4 linked regions of the Drosophila melanogaster genome follow. The protein of the gene in region 1 interacts with the protein of each later gene in a pairwise test. Each region holds a gene or a part of one and is shown on either strand. Other genes may lie near its edges. The genes, in order: Tsp74F, Drip, fan and CG6149.

The links.
Region 2: the proteins of Tsp74F (region 1) and Drip interact in a two-hybrid assay, tested with the Drosophila melanogaster proteins (one large-scale study listed by BioGRID).
Region 3: the proteins of Tsp74F (region 1) and fan interact in a two-hybrid assay, tested with the Drosophila melanogaster proteins (one large-scale study listed by BioGRID).
Region 4: the proteins of Tsp74F (region 1) and CG6149 interact in a two-hybrid assay, tested with the Drosophila melanogaster proteins (one large-scale study listed by BioGRID).

What each region holds. Positions count from the first base shown.
Region 1 is NT_037436.4:17,891,287-17,897,844, reverse strand, and holds Tsp74F (tetraspanin 74F), read left to right. Parts: upstream 1-1,982; 5' UTR 1,983-2,079; intron 2,080-2,632; 5' UTR 2,633-2,814; intron 2,815-4,288; exon of another isoform or gene 4,289-4,393; intron 4,394-4,458; 5' UTR 4,459-4,467; coding exon 4,468-4,545; intron 4,546-4,622; coding exon 4,623-4,814; intron 4,815-5,032; coding exon 5,033-5,128; intron 5,129-5,191; coding exon 5,192-5,488; intron 5,489-5,562; coding exon 5,563-5,610; 3' UTR 5,611-6,025; downstream 6,026-6,558. Other genes in the region: CG7402 (uncharacterized protein), read right to left, coding at 6,491-6,558.
Region 2 is NT_033778.4:11,426,640-11,431,653, reverse strand, and holds the start of Drip (drip), read left to right. Parts: upstream 1-2,008; 5' UTR 2,009-2,585; coding exon 2,586-2,601; intron 2,602-3,850; exon of another isoform or gene 3,851-4,202; coding exon of another isoform or gene 4,203-4,212; intron 4,213-5,014. UniProt on the Drosophila melanogaster protein: Forms a water-specific channel.
Region 3 is NT_037436.4:8,107,257-8,110,592, forward strand, and holds fan (farinelli), read left to right. Parts: upstream 1-1,875; 5' UTR 1,876-2,021; coding exon 2,022-2,678; 3' UTR 2,679-2,787; downstream 2,788-3,336. Other genes in the region: Sarm (sterile alpha and armadillo motif), read left to right, coding at 1,383-1,467; Nulp1 (nuclear localized protein 1), read left to right, coding at 3,243-3,336.
Region 4 is NT_037436.4:11,434,179-11,437,219, reverse strand, and holds CG6149 (uncharacterized protein), read left to right. Parts: upstream 1-1,743; 5' UTR 1,744-1,758; coding exon 1,759-2,463; 3' UTR 2,464-2,525; downstream 2,526-3,041.

The sequences.
Region 1 (6,558 bases):
CGTGAAAATGTTGTTTATTTATATATAGAATTTTGTGTAAAAAAGTTCCTTTATACTCCTCTAAGCTAAAGTAAATTCTATATAATTAACTATTGATAACCTTTCAACTTTCGCAATGCATTATTCACGAGCACTACACATTCCCATAGATTCATTAATTTATTAATGCAATATGCAAATTTTTGATTGATTGAGATAGCTTTTATACGAAGATCAGTAAGTGGCGAAGGCGTAAGTAGAGTTATAGCAGCTATGATAAGTCATGTGAGAATCAAAAATGTTGCATTTGTTGTTTTTTCAATGTTTCACTTTAGTTTGCATCTGATAATGTATGATGCATGTTGCTGTGTTAACTCGGTTGTATGCGCAGTTCGGTTAACATTTTAATTATATCTTCCACTACCAGTAGTCATTTGCTTGCCTTCCCAATTTTTGACTCATTCCAATCAGTTAAAGTGCCACAATTTAACGCTTCTGACGCTTGTCACCTTCGCCGAGCTCAACGAGGCTTTCAACTCGCTCACACTAATCGGATCTCAGTAAGTATAGGTTCATAGGCGAAATTGACTGGCTTAAAATTAAGAATTCCCCATAATATTAATGATTCTTGGCCACTTGAGCAAGAATAACTGAGCACTAGTCGCAAACTTCGATTTCTGAGCAATATTTTATCATGAGGCGCCTGTGGGACGAGTGTGTGGAAATGGATTTTATGGCATCTATAAAACGCAAAAGGTTCCCACAGCGAGTTTATAAGATGCAAAATCAACAGGCAGAGTAATTGTTTTTCTTTTTTTTATGATTTATTTTTATTTTCGCCATGCAACTAACACATTGGTCGGTGATTACGGGGACATGGCGGGTGGTTGTTGTTAACACGGCCATAAAAGTGCTAAACAAGCCAACAATTTGAGCGCTTTTCAACCGTGCTGTGGAGTGTAAGTAGGGAGGGTGAGCTATTCGTCTATCGGCAGCCAACTTTCTGACCTTAGCTTGGAAACTGCTTAAAAAATTACTCAACTCAGCCAAAACTATTTGTTCGACTAACAAGAAAATTAAGCTGTTAATTGCCAAAGGTTGTCCTTCGGCACAGCAATTGAGTTCGACCAGCAAAAGTAACATGAAACACGGATAATAAGCATATTTTCCTTGTGCTCTCTTGGAACACTAAGCCCTTGAAATCAAGAAAGAAAGATAGCCTCGCCAATGTTTGATTTCTTTTCTAATATTTTCAATTAAATTTCGATATTTATACATACATGATACAGAAGACAAATTCACATACTACGAGCAATAAAAAGAAGATTTTTAGAAAAGTTCCAAGCTTTAAAACTATGATTCTAGAATGCGTAAGAAAGGAACGGACTGACAAACTTGGCTTTATCAAGTTGTCTGATCAACACTCGTATATTGAATATAAATATGGTTGCAAATAGATGCAAATGATCCAACTGAAGAAAGAAAACAATCATTACAAATAATCCTTGTTCAAAAAGTATTTAAACTTAAACTGTTATAACAAAACGGTAACCAATTCGGATAGATTTGCCTCCAAAATCAATTATGCGGACATTGCCATGTGCAGACCGAGAACTAAAACAAATATCAAATTTCGTTTGCTTATCAATATTTATATTTTGCAATTGCCCGAAATGAAACAAAGGTGCTGGCTGTGGACGACGGATCATATTTTGTTTGCTCAACGCATTTTCACATGCCGACTCCGCAAAGGGAAGTGTGGGTAAAAGAAGCCGAAAAATAGATGAATAAATAAGAGAGAAGCACGAAAACATTCAGAGAAGTATTTGCGGTTTGTAAGCGAGTAGAGACTCCCATCTCTCTCGCACCTGCAGTGCTAAGCCTTCGAAAACAGGGGCTCAAGTCGAAGTTGTTGTAATGTCGAGAGACCGAGACCAGAAAAAGCCCAACAACGAAGCTCTTTGTGAGCGAAACTAATAAAAAACCGATCGCCCCGACTGTTCCCACAACCAGTTCCAAGCGAGCTCTCGGGCGGTAGAGTCGTCCCTGTCCCACATATAAAACCATAGTATCATAGCTCCCCGGATCCACTCAATCCCTGTAAGGCGAGACTTAGGTCCATCAAGTGAATCGTATAGTTTTATCCCCACGAAATATCCCGACAGTACAGTGATAACTCCGCTAAGGATAATGCTGCCTTGGCAAGCGTGACGTAACTTGAAAAGCAAATGTTAAAAGCAAGGCGGCAAAAAAAAAGTTGTTTGCCATGGGAGAACTGCAATTGACAATAACAGCAACAGCAATCGAATAAAAACTCAATAACAATTATCAACTGCGAGTGACGCTTAAAACAAATGCAAGAAACCTGTATTAAAAAAGTTTCATAAAAATTCGAGAGCAAATATTAACGAATATTGCATAAATTGCTATATGCGTATGTAAACTTTGCGATCTCTTTTGATCTGAATGAAGTGATCTGAATGAAGAATGAACCAAAAATTTAAACAAGTTAATAAAATCGACCGAAAAAATGAATGAATGCGTCTTCATCAAAAAGTTGTTTATAAATAAAAGTGAAATTAAAAACTCTTCTACTTCTTACCACAAAAATGTTAATTGAAAGGGTTAAAATAATTTCCTTCTTTTTTTATAGCCACTCCCAAAGTTTCTGTGCATTCAAGTGCAACTAAAAATAGTAGCCGTTTCTTTTGTTTTGCTTTGTGTTTTTGCAAAACAACAAATTGAAGGCAATTTACATACACAAAGCTGAGAAAGAAAACCGCCAAAATTGGTTACCTAACGAAAACTTCGTTTGTGCTACGGGACGGCAAACTTGTAAGTGAATTTGCTTATTAGATAATATTTCATTTGTTTTAATTAATCATAAATTTCATACAGAGGTCCTTCAAATGCGACCACTTTCCTATTTTCACTGCTATATTTTCAAGCTTCGAGTATAAACAAGGAGTACATATTTCATATTTATAGCCTCGACCGATTCTGCTCACTAACTTTTAAGCTAACATCACCTACAAATAAAGATTACATACGAGTTTTAAACATAAATGACCTAGTAAAGCTATTATTCCTATGATTACAGATAGATAACAGGGTATGAAAGGAGCATAAAAGAGTGAGCTCAGAGTTTAGTAGATAGTACTTAAAAAGTCTGATTTTCTAAGTTTTTCATGAGTGACAGGACTTGGAATCCGAGCTTTAAGTGATCTATTACCATGTGTAGCACGTACAGCTGAACAATTACCATAAACTTAATTGGTCTCAGCTTACAAGCGGCAGATATAGTGATTCGCCCCGCCGCCAACGCCCCGTCATCATTAATGGCGACTTTCGGATGACTTACTGTCATCTCAGGCACGATTCGGATTCGCTTAACATGATAACGTCGAATGAAATATAGTGAATATTCAGATAGTGTGAGAACATTTTTTTAATAGCCCCGCCAATTACCTGGCGAACTCGACTGCGGCTTAACATATTTGAATTTGGAGAATAATGCTCGAAATGAGATGTCGTTTACCAGCTAGTGGGGTGAAGGGGTACCCGACTGCTCAGCCTGCAATTACTTTTAATTAGCATTTAGAACATCGCACTGCGCCAAGATGATTCAGAGCTGGGACGGCACTCGTAGTTAAACCACTACAATTAGCTGACAAATTTTCGGGCAGGCTATTACTTTGATTTATTTGTTTTGATCGCTCCAACTTCAACGGGGGGAATTCGTCTCGGAATCGCCGCGCAGCGAACCCTTCAAGTGGGCCTAATGCGATGTAAGTAACCAAAAAAAAAAAAAAAAACGCGAGTCTTTAGAGCCGTAACTGACAAAATCCACAAGACGTTGGCAGCCACCGCCGATAATGAACGCTTGTCTAGGCACATAGCGTTGGCAGCTTCGCTGCTCAGTCGCAGTTCCATAAAGTGGGTCATGGTTAAGTGTACTTCGGTCGCTTCGCGGTTCGGACCCGGCTTAGAAAGAGCGAAACGTTCGGCCGAAACCACAGCTGCGCATGCGCATGCGCATGCGCACCACTCGCCAAGCCGAACACCATTGATAGGCAGCCCATATGTTGGAGTGAATCTTACGCGAAAGAAACTCGTTAAAAAGTACATTCTTGAGATTACATCACATTGCAATAGAGAGTAGGCCAAAAATAGCTAATTTGAAATCGGGATGATGAGTTATGATTAACTTGGTTATCGCTAAGGACCTGTTGAAATTGAATGATCTCTAAGAACTTTAACTTAATTAAAGCATAGTGTGAAATTATTTTTATCTGTCTTTGGATTATAGAGTTGTATCGCCATCAAGAACCTCTGCATCTCATCCTACCCCAAATTCCCTGCATAATTCTCCTCGCATCAATATCCTCTGGGGGCTCTTCACCTGTAGACAAAAGTAAACAATGTGAAATCTTTTTATCCCATTGAATTGGTTAATTGAAATGTATTATCCTTTCAAAGGAAGACGATATGGGCTTCAGTTCGCGAATGGACTGCTGCGGGCAGTTCGTCAAGTACAGTCTTTTCATAGCCAACTTTGTGATATTCGTGAGTATCCAGGAGTCGCTTGAATTAAAAAACAATTTAAGAGAAATAAATAATACCAAAATATATGTATTTTCCAGGTGGGTGGAGCGATTGTGTTTTGTCTCACCCTGTGGACTCTGGTGGATCGGAGTTTCGTCAATGAGTTGCTCGGTACAAATCTTTTCTCGGGTGCTGTCTACGTCCTGCTGGTTACATCGATTATCATTTGTCTGGTGTCCTTTTTGGGTTGTGTTGGTGCCGGAAAAGAAGTCAAATGCCTCCTCCTAACAGTAAGTAAACAACAAACAATAAAAACAAAAATTTCATTTTATTAAATAATTAACTTTGTCCTTTTTGGAGTAATCATATCTGGATTTGCATATTTACAAAGATACCATCTAAAGAAATGATCTATTTGATTTAATCTTCTAAATGTTGTCAGTCTCTTCTTTACTATTATGCAAACACCATTTAGCTAAAAAATTAACCACTCGTTTTCCCTTTGCAGTATTTCATAATAGTGGCCCTAGTTTTCGTGACCATGCTAATTGGCGGTGTCTTGGGTTACGTGTTCCGCGAACGAGTTCAGCAGACCATGCGGCAGGTGAGGCAAATCCATCGATAACAACACGTGGGTGGCACATTAACCCTTACCAATATCCCATAGGAAATGCGTTCCACGATGGCACTATACGGAAGCAGGAGGGAGATCACCCAGGCCTGGGATTTGACCCAGGAGCGACTACAGTGCTGCGGAGTGGATACGTGGCACGACTGGAATAGGTACGGACCAGTGCCTGAGTCCTGTTGCCAGGAGCTTTTCGGTGGACAGCGTAAGGAGTGCACAATCTTCCCGACCATTACGAATCTGTACAACCAGGGATGCCTCTATGTGACGACCAACTTCATCAGGGATCACGCGGCGGTTATTGGAGGTACATCCATAGCGGTGGCCATACTGATGGTAAGTGAACGCCTTTCTTCGGTAGCAAAATTATTATATAATATATAATTAATTGGAATTTGGTTTATTTTTAGATCTTTGGCATGATATTCTCCTGTCTACTATTCAATATGATCGAATAGCGCCAACGAGGAGGGGAATCCCATGGTCACGCAGGAAAATCAGATACCAAGGTCCACAGTCCAGAAGAAACACATTTTTAAACATAATTCGCTGGAGTTAAATTAAGAGTATTATCTGAGTGTATGCTAATGTTAGATCTGCACAGATCAACTGTCCGCTTGTATTATGTATTGTATTGTATGTATATACGTGTTTAGATACGCATAACTAGTGAGTATTGAACTTAGTAGGGATTCTATTGTTATTATCTGTTGCATAAATTTGTATTATTTGTGTGAAGTTTTGTAAATTTCCTCTTAAGCCACCGTTATCAACAACCCATTACAATTGCTAGTTTTAAGTGAGCTTTTCAATACTTAATAGAGAATTTAGATGTCTGTCCATTGTTGTTTTCAATAAAAATTAGTTAAAACCAAATACTTCGGAAATGTTTATATATATTAATATTTTTTATTTTTAATCCAATTATCATTAAACGATATGTTGTGATATGAGTATAAAAAAAAAACGAAAAAGGATAAATATTTAAAATGATCTGGTCCATGAAATATGTCCATGTTACGTAAAAATTTGTATTTAAAAAACGGTTTAAAGTATTAAACTGTTTTTGATCGAAGCTTTAATCTACATGCAATATTGTTGCATATTTTTAGGTTTTTTTTGTCTTAAGTCACATTTTTGAAGCGGGAAAATAGGGAAAGTATGGATCACGCTGTGACCTGAAGGTGTTTACAAAGTGAATTATCATCAGATAATATAACAACTTTTATGTTATTTAACTGAAAATAAGTTCGCACTCAAGCGACTTTAAAGATTTGAATAAAAAAGTATTTTCTTTAATTAACTTTTATTAAAAATTATTCTACTAAGAACTTACAGCTACAACAGATTTCTGTATACTAAGCCTATAATACTACCCATCGCAAGCCATAAATTGATGGAGAAGG
Region 2 (5,014 bases), on another chromosome or scaffold:
ACTAGATTATTAAACTTAAATGATATCTTAATAATATTTTCAGTATAAGTTCTAAAGAGGGAAATAAACAATTTTGGTAATTTACCCACAACAGCTACGTACTATCTGTAACTAGCATTAACAACAATTATTTCCAATGTCTAATTCTGAGTTTTTACTTTGTGCCTTTCGATGAATTCAAAGTTTTGTTAAATCTATTTTACAAACCTATAGTAGATAATCTGCAACTGCTTAATAACAATTAAAGCGAATCTAATTTGATGATTTCAACTATTCCCATCTAGTTACTAGATAAAATTATACTTTTAATTGGTATCGTTGGGCAAACTCACTTTGGTGAATGAAACTCCAGTTGAAAAGGAGCCAAGATCTATTGGTAATTCGACAGGCATATACCATCTCCACATCGGCGATTATTATCTCGCCCATTTAGCCAGAGTTTGTGCCATTTTAATGCTTAACTGCCATTAAATATAATTACTCATTAAAGCAAAAGAGCCCCGGCATGTACATACATACATACTTCGCTTGAATTCCCCATGCGAAGGCACAAATAAGTCCGTCTGCGATTTGGCTCTTGTTTTCATAATGGGCCAAGACGCTTCCCCACAAACAAAATCGCAGCTCTTGGCGAGCGAGTCTTCTTTTATTTTGGCTTGTCACTTGTTTTGTCAATAACTCGCAACTGTTGCTCTGTTAAGAGATAAAAATAGCCCGCGACGACGACAAGGTAAAAGCCCTTTTCACCAGCAAAGCCCCGCAATCAATATGGCATATTAAAGTTGGTGAAAAGCTGTTTAAAAGTGAAACTGATAACGGCCCAACCGTCCATAACCCATTAGCCGCGTTTTAAGTTGGAAAAGCTGCAATAAGGTGCCATTAAAAGAAAATGAAAACTGTTCCGGCATTGGAATGGTTGAGTGGGTGGGTGGTAGGTCTAGTACAACCGTTTGGTGGGTGGTTCAAACAGTCACGTGCAGCGTTTGTGGATTATCAAAAGTCAAAAACCCCCTGTAATGATAACATCTTAGCTATGCGATAATTGAGTCTGAGGTTCGGCATGACCAGCGCAATTAGATTAATCAAAAATGTGTTTATGGCTCCTTGAGTGTCCATATATCAAGTGAACAAAATGGCAGGCGAATAATAGTTCTTAGGCTGTGTGCAAAAACCCAAAATGGCTGTGAACTTTCCCCATGGTCAATAACAATTCGATTATGAACTTGGCCATCTGTCGGCTAATTGCAATTCATTGGTTTTTAATTGGCACCATATAAGCAATGCTATATTTTGGGAGCTTTTATGTGATTATCACATCACATTTACCAAAGACTAAGCAAGACAACCATTTTCTATTGTATATATATCTTATACATGGATATATGTACATATGTGCCTATCTTATCTATATTATATCTATGTGATTCGTCTAAAGACTAAGGCCCTTGAGTGGCTTTTTCGGATATGAAACAGTTGATTTAAACCGATGTTATGCCAATTGGTTATAGAATAACTTTGGGGGAGAGTCCATATATCATCAGTAACGGTTAGCAGCTGATAAGACCATGACTGGAAAATGTTTCGTGTTATGGGGTAGACTCGAATGGGGTATTACTCATACTCATACGTTTTGTTTTAAAAAACAATTACGCCACAAGTTATACTGACTAATTTCACTCAGAACTAACTGAGAGCTACTTTCGAAGGGCAAAGTAGGGATTTATTGTAGTATTTGGCAAGCAACTCACTTTGGCCAAAACAGAGCCATCAAAAGCCACAAGAGTCATTACAAATGTTTTCGCGCCCCCATTCGATTAAGTCATCCGGGGTAGGTGTATTCCGAGCTTAGATCCTTTGAGGCGTCCAAGTGGATACATGCGGAGCTCCGCGGTGGCCAAGCCCCAAAACTAAAAAATCTGAATGGGGCAGTGACGGCGACGCGACTGCGACGCCGACCGCGACGACGACCGCGGCAGAGAGTATATCAGTTACAGTCGCAGCGTTGGCAACGCTTATTTGCGCTCGAGCAGCGAACGTGGTAGCACAGCTTTAAGCACTACAGCACTACAGTACAAACTGCGAGAAAGAAAAGCGGCAGTTTCGAAAATCCGAAAAGGAAATCGAGTTCGGAGCGGTTAGTTTAATTGGCGATAATAATAAACTAATAATAAAATCGAGTTATTGCACGTTGCGCTTTCCAATTTCGAAAAGGAAATCTGAAAATATTGTAGCCCAGTGAAGAAAATAAGTCAATCGGGTGAAATTAAATTGATAACAACACCGCTTTCCGCCCCATATTCGACTCCGTGTGGTCAAGTGGCAGACAATTGTGCAACCTCAAGACTCTTAACCTTAACAATTATATTTCGGCCACAAAAAACTATTGGCACAATTCAGTTCGATTCGAGTGCGCGCTAACTCACTTTTACCCGCAGCAAAAAGCAATAAGGCAAAAAGCACGCTTTGAAAACGAAAGCAAAGCACAAGTTCGCTTCGAAACCCCCCACGCTTGCCAAAAATCTCAAGTGGCAGCCCCCAGAAGACAGTAGATCGTAGCCAGAAGACCGAAGACAGAAGACAGCAAAATGGTCGAGAAAACAGGTGAGTGATTGGCGATTGGAGGCTGGAGAATGCGAAATATGCGTGTGCGTGTGTGCGAAGGTTAATTGCGAGCAAAATTTGGGGGCGAGAGTGCGGCAAATTGTTATGGTTTTGTGCGAAAGTTAATCCCACTCTTTTGGGGCTTTCAACTTTTGCTTGAATAATATCACAAACCAATGAGAGTGTATAATTTCCAAAACTATTGATCGAAATCGTTTGCAATTTGCTATTGCCAGTGTATCAATCCTTATGTTTTTTTACATTAAAATAAAACGATCAAAAGTAAACCATAAAATTTGTAATGAATACAGTTTTAACAAATCTACTTTTGATTTAATAAAGCACCCAGTTTGTTTATTGCAAAATAGGCCCCTCTTTGGATTTCACTTTCAAAGCAAACAAATAGTAACCCAAAATTTGCCTTAAATTAATCATTCCTTCACAATTAATCAACTTTAATAAGCCATCGAAAGATGTTTTGATAAATCATCTTTTTCTTTTTTTTCTTTCTTTGTTTTGGGTGGTTGGGCGAATCAAAGAGTAGCCCGCCTGTCGATAACGATAACGAGATGATTGGTTTTCAATAATTTCTCTGACACAGCATGACAAAGACAGCAAATTAGCCCCGAGTTATTTTTTTTTTTATAGTTAGACGTAGTTTTTTGTTGCTTTGATTTAGCTTCCGTGGCGATTGATGATGATTTCTGTAACTGAAAGTTTGCATGACAGAAAAGCCTGGAAAGAAAAAAAAAAGATAGATAGGAGAAAACTTAGCTAGGTAAACAACAGCGGAAACTCCGGCCGAGGCAATTTATGCGATGATGATGTTGATGGCTCCCCAACGAAAGCAATAAAACCACACCGAACCGAGTCAAGTCAGTCAAGTGAATGAACTGGAGGAAAACACCCTAAGAGCCAAATAAGTAGGAACTTTTATTTGTGCGATCTGAACAGTCAAATTAATTAAAAACCTAATTGCATTCCTCTGGTTGCTTCGCAGAATTAAAGCCAACCTCTGGCGTCATTTTCGCCGCCTGTTCCGCCGATATCGTTGTGATAATGACCATAATATTTACCCGGCACTGAATACTCATTTGCCAAGCCAAGAATTCTCGGTTCCAGCTAATTAATGTCAACGCCTGAGCATCTATTTGATCAAGTGTTTAAACACAGGGCTCAATATTTGATTTAGATATTAAATATGTTCACTTAACGTGGCTGCTTAATGCTCGGGTGGAATTTTGAGACCAGTAAGCGTTTAAAAATAGTCGAGTGAGGTGCGTGAGAAATTCGCAGCCCTTTGGCGCTGAAATTCTGCAAATTATAGTACAAACGTGTGGCTAATTTGATATCCCTCTTTCGCTTAATGTCTTCTCCGCCTCATAATTCAATGCGTTGTCATCTTGGACCAACATCACTTTATACATATATATATATATATATATATGTGTAGACAGACTTCCACCTGACGTTAGTAGCTGCTGTTTTTGTGGCGACGGATTCGCAGATATAACAAAATTACAGTAATAATCGTGCGCGGAGTTGACATGACATCACGGTGAAATTGGCATTCAAAACAGTAGCAAACTTAAGGCCAGGAAATGGTTTTTGGTATGACTGGAGAACATTTAGACATTTAACACAGTTAGTGCACATCCCCATTTACTTAATTCCATCCAACCGAGCTCCGTTCTCAATGGAAGATCAACTTGTTTGTTAATCGGATAGCTTATAATTAAGATAATAAGCTGCCATTGAGATGCACAGAAGCGAAGATGTTCGGTTCCCATGGAAAGTTTTTGATTCACGTAACGTTCAATTAAGTTTACGGAAAATAATTGGAATGTTCATATATCTATTGATTTGATGTAGAAGTGACTGTGTGCCATACCGAAAATTTAGTCCGCTTTGGTGTACAAATTGCATATTTTGCAAATTTAAAAAAACAATCCGAAAGAAATACAACTTTGTTGCCTTTTAAAATGCCATCCATTATGTGCCTGAAAAACAGCCTTTCAGTCTCCCAATTTTCCCTATCGTGTCGTCTCAAATTATCGCCATTAATTGACAAACTTCCAAAGTTAGTCATAAACCACAAACCCCAATAAATTGCCTTTGATTTATGGTGCATTGTAAACGAGTTAAGCGACATAAATTCGTTTGGAGCAAAAGCCCATAAAGATTATAAGTGAGTTTGAACGTACTCCTCCCGCACAGCAAACGAGCAAACGAAAACTGAATAGTCCCCTGCCCATCTGACTAATTAATTTATAACGATTTTAATAGCCAGCGAACAGGTTTCGATCTTTCCCGCGACTGTTATTAATAAAATCATCACCTTGCCGAACAAAAGTGCCCAAGAGTTGCGCAAAGCCGAAATTAATAATCCGATTAAATTGATTAATTGTTGTAG
Region 3 (3,336 bases), 9.8 Mb from region 1:
CACGCATTCATCCACCCCCTGGGGACCCTTACAACCTTTCTACCTCCACTCGCTGACTCTACTTCTCTTTCTCTGGTGTTGGTACTCGTTCGCTATTTTTACTCGCCACTCGTTGACTCGTTTCGCTAAGCATCCACTAAAACTCGCCTGCGTTGCCCAAAAAATATATACGAACGCCCCTCCCCCGCCAATTTCTATATCTTCAAACTCTATTTGCCTTGTGATTAGTTGTTGATTTTGATAATTATTTTTTTATTGAAAAATAAGTAAGCGAATTTAAATTGCGAAAACTAATTTATGAAAAGAAAAATACAATTAACGACTGCATAAATACGAAACCTAATTTATAGAACACAAAACAGAAACCATCTAATTCTAAACACTACAAGAAACAAAAATATATTGGAGAGCGAAAACACTCTATATTTAAAATGCTATTTATAAATAATATGTTTAAAAATTTGTACATTTTTCGCGAATGCAACATGTTCTTGTAACCGTCCGCAAAACGTAAACTAAAAATTGCAAAATTTAAAATTAACCCGTGTGGCTTAAAACGAAAATATTTACATAAGTGATATTTAAACTACGTATAATCGAAATTTACTTAATGCAAAATTTTTACAACAAAACATGCTGTACAAACCTAATTTTTAGCGCAGGAGTTTTTAAGGCATATTTTTATTGATTTTTGCAATATATATTTAATATTTAAATAGTGCCTAAAGTTAAATACGAAAGCCGAAAAAATCGAAATACATACAAAAAAAAAAGGAAATAAAATGTGACTTAATTCAAACTAAATGTGTATTATTGGCCCTATTTAGCCCTGTTCCCCTGCTTAATCAGTCCATACTATATCATCAATCGCATGTACCGATATTATACGTTTTGTTCAATGTTTGTATTGCGTTCTGCATTTGAATTTGTGTTTGTGCCTTTAATGGAATTCGAAATGTTTTATTTGTATATATCTTATCACTTTTATTTCTTCCCTCTTTCTTTCTCTATATCCGGACTTTTTTGTAGACCATAAAAGCGAAATTGGCTACCGCAATCCGTTGTAACTGTTGTTATCGTTGTGCCTGTTGTACTGCCCCCGCCCACAAAAGCACCCACCCACCAAATCGAATCGATTTCGATTTCGAAAAACCCATCATCGCACACCGTGAGATTAATACGATGCCTACACTCAGCATCCGCCGTCTCGACAACCAACATTCATTGTTATTTATTACCAAGCAAGCAACAAAAAAAAGAAAGAAAGCAATCAAAGCAAATAGCGATACCAATAAACGTGTATATAATTGCATAAATCGAAAGAGTCCTGTCAAACATTTTTTAATTTGTATCTTACCCATACCTCCTCCCACTCGAAACAGCAACGAAATGGAGGACGAGGAACTTTCGGGCATCATTCTGTCCAAGGCCACCTCCCCCAATGCCGGGCGCATGATATTTTGGTAAATGATGGACCATCCCCCACCTGACACACATTCAGTCACACAAACGTATCGAATTTTTGTAAATATTTAATAAAACAAAAAACAAATAAAACGAACGATCTGAAACTCGAAATCATGTTGTTATCTAAACATCTTGAACTTACAAATACAAAAAACTACAATTTGCAAAAGTTCTAAAAAGTTTTTGAACATTATTTAAAGACAGGTTTGTATATAATTTATGAAATTAGCCTAAAATATAGCTTTTAAGACATTCCTTTAAGCAACATAAGCTAATAGCTGCAATCTATAATAGTGATGCTGCGCATATGACTTTCAAAACCGACCAGTGTGTCCACACCAGAAAAGTTGAATTCATACGAAATCAAGCAATATGTGAACTCAATTCAGCCCTGAAATGGAAAGTTTCACATTCCTTTTTCTGTCATTTGCACTACGGCATTGTCAGGGAACGTGTTCATTTGGTACCACATTTTTTCATATATTGGTCATAATCGGTTCCAGTTCATATCGCTTCCGATTTTTTGAAAAATAAAAAGGTACAAATATTCCAATATGTCCGACAATACCGAGAGCAAACTTGCGCTAGACCCGTGCGATGTGATCGTCTTTGAGGGACCATTCAACCGCTCGGTGAGCAGGAAGCTAGTCATCAAGAACACCAGTAAGACCCAGCGAATGGCCTTCAAGATGAAGACCACCACTCCAAAACTTTTTTATGTACGCCCCAACATCGGTGTCTTGGGGCCCGAGCAGAAGGTCAGCGTTGACATATTCATGCAGCCAATTCTGCAGGAGCAGATAAAGAAGCGTCATAAGTTCCTTCTCCTGGCCGCCGAGGTGACTGGTGACATAAGCGATGTGCAGGAGTTTTGGAAGATGCAGAACCCGAATGAAACTCGGGAAACCAAGATCAAATGTGAGCTAGTCCCTTCGAAGGAGGACGATTTCCGTCAGGCGGGAGGTTCAGCTGTAATATCCACGGACAACAAGGACGGAGAGGTCCATTTTGATGCCCAGGAAGTCAGTGAGCCAATGGCCAAGTTGCTCAAGCAAGTCAGCATGCTGGAGGACGAGCATATGGCCCTCACAGACCAGATCGACGGCTTGCGTGACCAGGCGATTGGGCGCACTTTCTTCTACATGGCCGCCATAGTAATCATTATACTGTCCGCTGTCGCAGGCGCCTATTATGGCAAGACTCGTTTGTAAATTCCTTATCATGGCAGTTTTTAGAACATAAGGCAGTAAATTGCACCGAAATTGTACGAAAATTATTTGTCAATAAAGGACATTTTGGTTGCATATTCTATTTTGAGATAGATAATTAGTTTATGCTTGTATACCAATAAATGCGTAAGATGTTATATTCTCACTTTACTAGAAGTAAATAAGTTTAAAATAGGAAATGTCGAATAAAAATAAATTTTTTCAAAACAATTTAAAATGCTTTTTCCTATTTCACTTTATGAAGAGACAAAAAGTAAACTTATTAAAATTTCTGTGAATAACACGTCAAGTTTGATCCAACTTCTACAGGCAAGGCGTATAGGTGTATAGCACTTGCTAAAATTTAGAACTTCTTTTTCAATTCCCGCCAAGACGGGACCACCTGTCTAGGCCAGTGCTGTGAAGCGCGCGTGGCCACAGAGCTCGGCAACCCTGCAGCCGTGCGAAAGCGAATGTGGTGAAGAAAAAAAAAACAGCGAAATACACACGTATTTTGCGACGAAATTAAATAGAATTCCTGCTAAGGGGTATAAGGACACTTGAAGGATGTCTGCGCGAATGCTGAAGAAGCTGCAGGGCGACGCTGACAAGCTGGCGCCACCGCCCGATGACGAGGACTGCGAGGAGCTGAGCGACAATG
Region 4 (3,041 bases), 6.5 Mb from region 1:
GCTTTGGATTTAGTGTTTACAAAGCTTGTGAACAGTGAAAAGATGATCCAACATTAATTATGTACGAAACTGAAACTGTGAGGGGAAACAAAATAAGGAACTTTAACAATTTCTTTAGGTATTCCCTTTGAAAGTTTCTAAGAACATGCTTGATAACCTTTAAAATCTAGAGTGGAATATGTGGAGTATGTATACGTCCTTGAAATATATATAGTGTGTTTTTTATACGAAAATAAAAATGTGTCTGTAAAATTAATTAACCAACTTAAGTTGATTTAAACATGGTTTTCTTATTCTTATATTAAACAAAGTGATAAAACTCAATAGATTATTTATAGTGTAATTACACTCAATACACCTACAAACTCAGAGTTCATACAAGTGCTAACTAAACAGTCTGCAACATTCGGTCCTAAAGGGATTGATACATTTATTTGACTGCCAAATATTGTACACCCGTTTTTATGTGCGAAAATATCGGCCAGAAATGTCTGCCTATATTTAAATAACTCTGTCGCAATGACCGTAGCGAAACGTGTCCGACAACGGTTTTAAAAAATTAACAACATTGCTCCAATTAGTCTGGGCAGTGCGGATCATAATTGTATGGGCACACATCGTTCTTATATAGTATATACATATGTATATTTCGCAGGCATTCGAATATCCAAATTTGCGTCACGGCACTGAGTTTTTGCGACTCCTTTCGTTTTTAAATCCATTTGGTTATCACCATGGACAGACGCTTAAATTGAATTTATAAATAGTAACAGACCACTATTTAACTAATAGACTCAAATTCGAACAGCAAAGACTTACTAATCAAACAGATGTCGACTTACTTAAGAGCTAGTTTTTATCGATAAGTGAGCTGGATTTATTAAAAAACTAAAAAAAACCCAGCTAAAAGTCCTTGAAATTTTTACTTTTATTTTGCACTGCTAATAAGATATAATTTTGGGCTTCCTAGTTGATTCAGTATTCCGAGATATAATGTATATTTATAATTATTTACTAATATTTGTTAAATATAACTAATAATTATCAGGTCACTGTTAAACAAATAGTTTTACCTATTCTCGCTTTCGCCGTCAGATGGCTGAATCGAATTTGGCAAAAAGGTAATTTAACTATTTACGAATGGTTTTCGTCGGACATATGGTGGTGATGGGCCTGACTAATTATCCACTGAGATCTGCACGGCCGACAAAGGAAAACAAACAAATATTTACGGAACACACATCCATTTGATTGCCTGCGGTTGGTGGACCCTTCCTCTTCATTTTCATCGCAACATCTGGTCCTGAAATTGAAGGACCTCTGACCAAACGAATCAGCTGTGTCCAAGGTCGCACCCCTGTAGTTTTAACGGCAAACTCCCCATTTCCATTTGAGTCAATACTCATCGCCTTTTACCTTTCGGTTCCGCAGTGGGTCAATAATTAAACTAACGATGAAATTGATACGTTGTATATCCAAACTCACATTTATCTATAAGTTTTAGATACGGTATTTATGTGTTTCCTTCAAATAGTTGTTTGAGTAGATTACAAAACTAGAAACATGGTTGAAATTGTTATTTATTTGTTTCAATGGAACCTATTTAAACTTTCTCACCCAACTTGGTAAAAATTAGAGCTTATTTTGCATCACTATTCTAGCGAATCCGTTTCGGTCATAGGCTATTTCCCTATGCCGGATCGATTTGCACCACATTAGCATAGCTCCATCGACAAATGCGTTAGTATCTATCCGGAAATGGAGCGACTTAATTTGTCGAACAGGGCTCGCCTGTTTTTCCACCTGTCGGCCACCGTTCACCTGGGCTATGCCATTTACTTTGACTGTCGGTATGCCCAGTTGCCACAAGTGGCGGTGACCCTGCGCCTGGAGCCACCGATTGGTGGCAAGTTTAAGTACATGACGTTTCTGTGCGGCCTTTTGCAGTTGGGGTACTATACACTGGCGCTGACCTTTGACCTCCTCCGATTGAGATCTCTAAGGAAGCTGCGAGACTACATCTTCGCCACCTTTGCCGTACCTCTGGCCCTTACGGTGGGTCTCACCTTTTGGACACTCTTCGCCATCGATCGGGAAGTGATATATCCGGTGCTTTTGGACCTGGTCTATCCCAATTGGCTGAACCACACCATGCACACCTTCGTCGTAATCTATGCCTTTGTGGAGTTGGGTATTACACGACATCAATATCCGAAACGCAGTCGAGGATTCACTGGACTGGGTGCCTTCATGTTGGGATATCTGGTGTGGATACATATCGTTTGGTTCCGGACCGACATCTGGGTGTATCCCTTTCTGGGCGGCATCGCCTGGCAGCTGAGAGTAATTTTCTTTGTCCTTATCATGGTCCTCGGATTCATTTACTATCTCTTCGGCGAGCGAGTTAATAACGTCTTGTGGCAGCGATCTACTGGTGTCCACAGATGGATCGATTCCCATTGAAATGCACATTTGATAGTTTAAGGATAGGAACATAAATAAAGTATATAGGATATGCTTCTTATTAAATTAAATATGACTACTGTGGAAGTCAAGCTATGCAACTATTCAAATCGTACAAAAGGCGCAGTAATAAAACTAATATACATTTTTGTAGAAACCATAAAATTCAATTCGAAAGTAATAAAACATGTTTCCGGTACAAAGATCAATTGCAATATAAAAGTCGAAATCATCTAATTTTTCAACACACATAACGGAACCGGAAATCGCTCTGAATATATTATTTTGGTTTTCAAATGCGTTTATCATCGAAAAACCAGCTGCTAAGAAGCGGAATCCATATGGATTCGAACATATTCTCATTCAACTATATGATAGTCACGTGCGGAAATTACAGCTGCCAGCTGATTCTGGAAAACCGATCCATTGTTTTACTCAATCCTTTCAGCGGGAGGTTCCGGTTTGGCTAGGATGTGGGCTCCGATTTCGAATATTTCAGGACACCACTTGTGCCAATATTTCGAAAGTGATCTCCGGACAGCCGAAACTCAGAGAAGAAAGGCACAGTTTTTCATTGT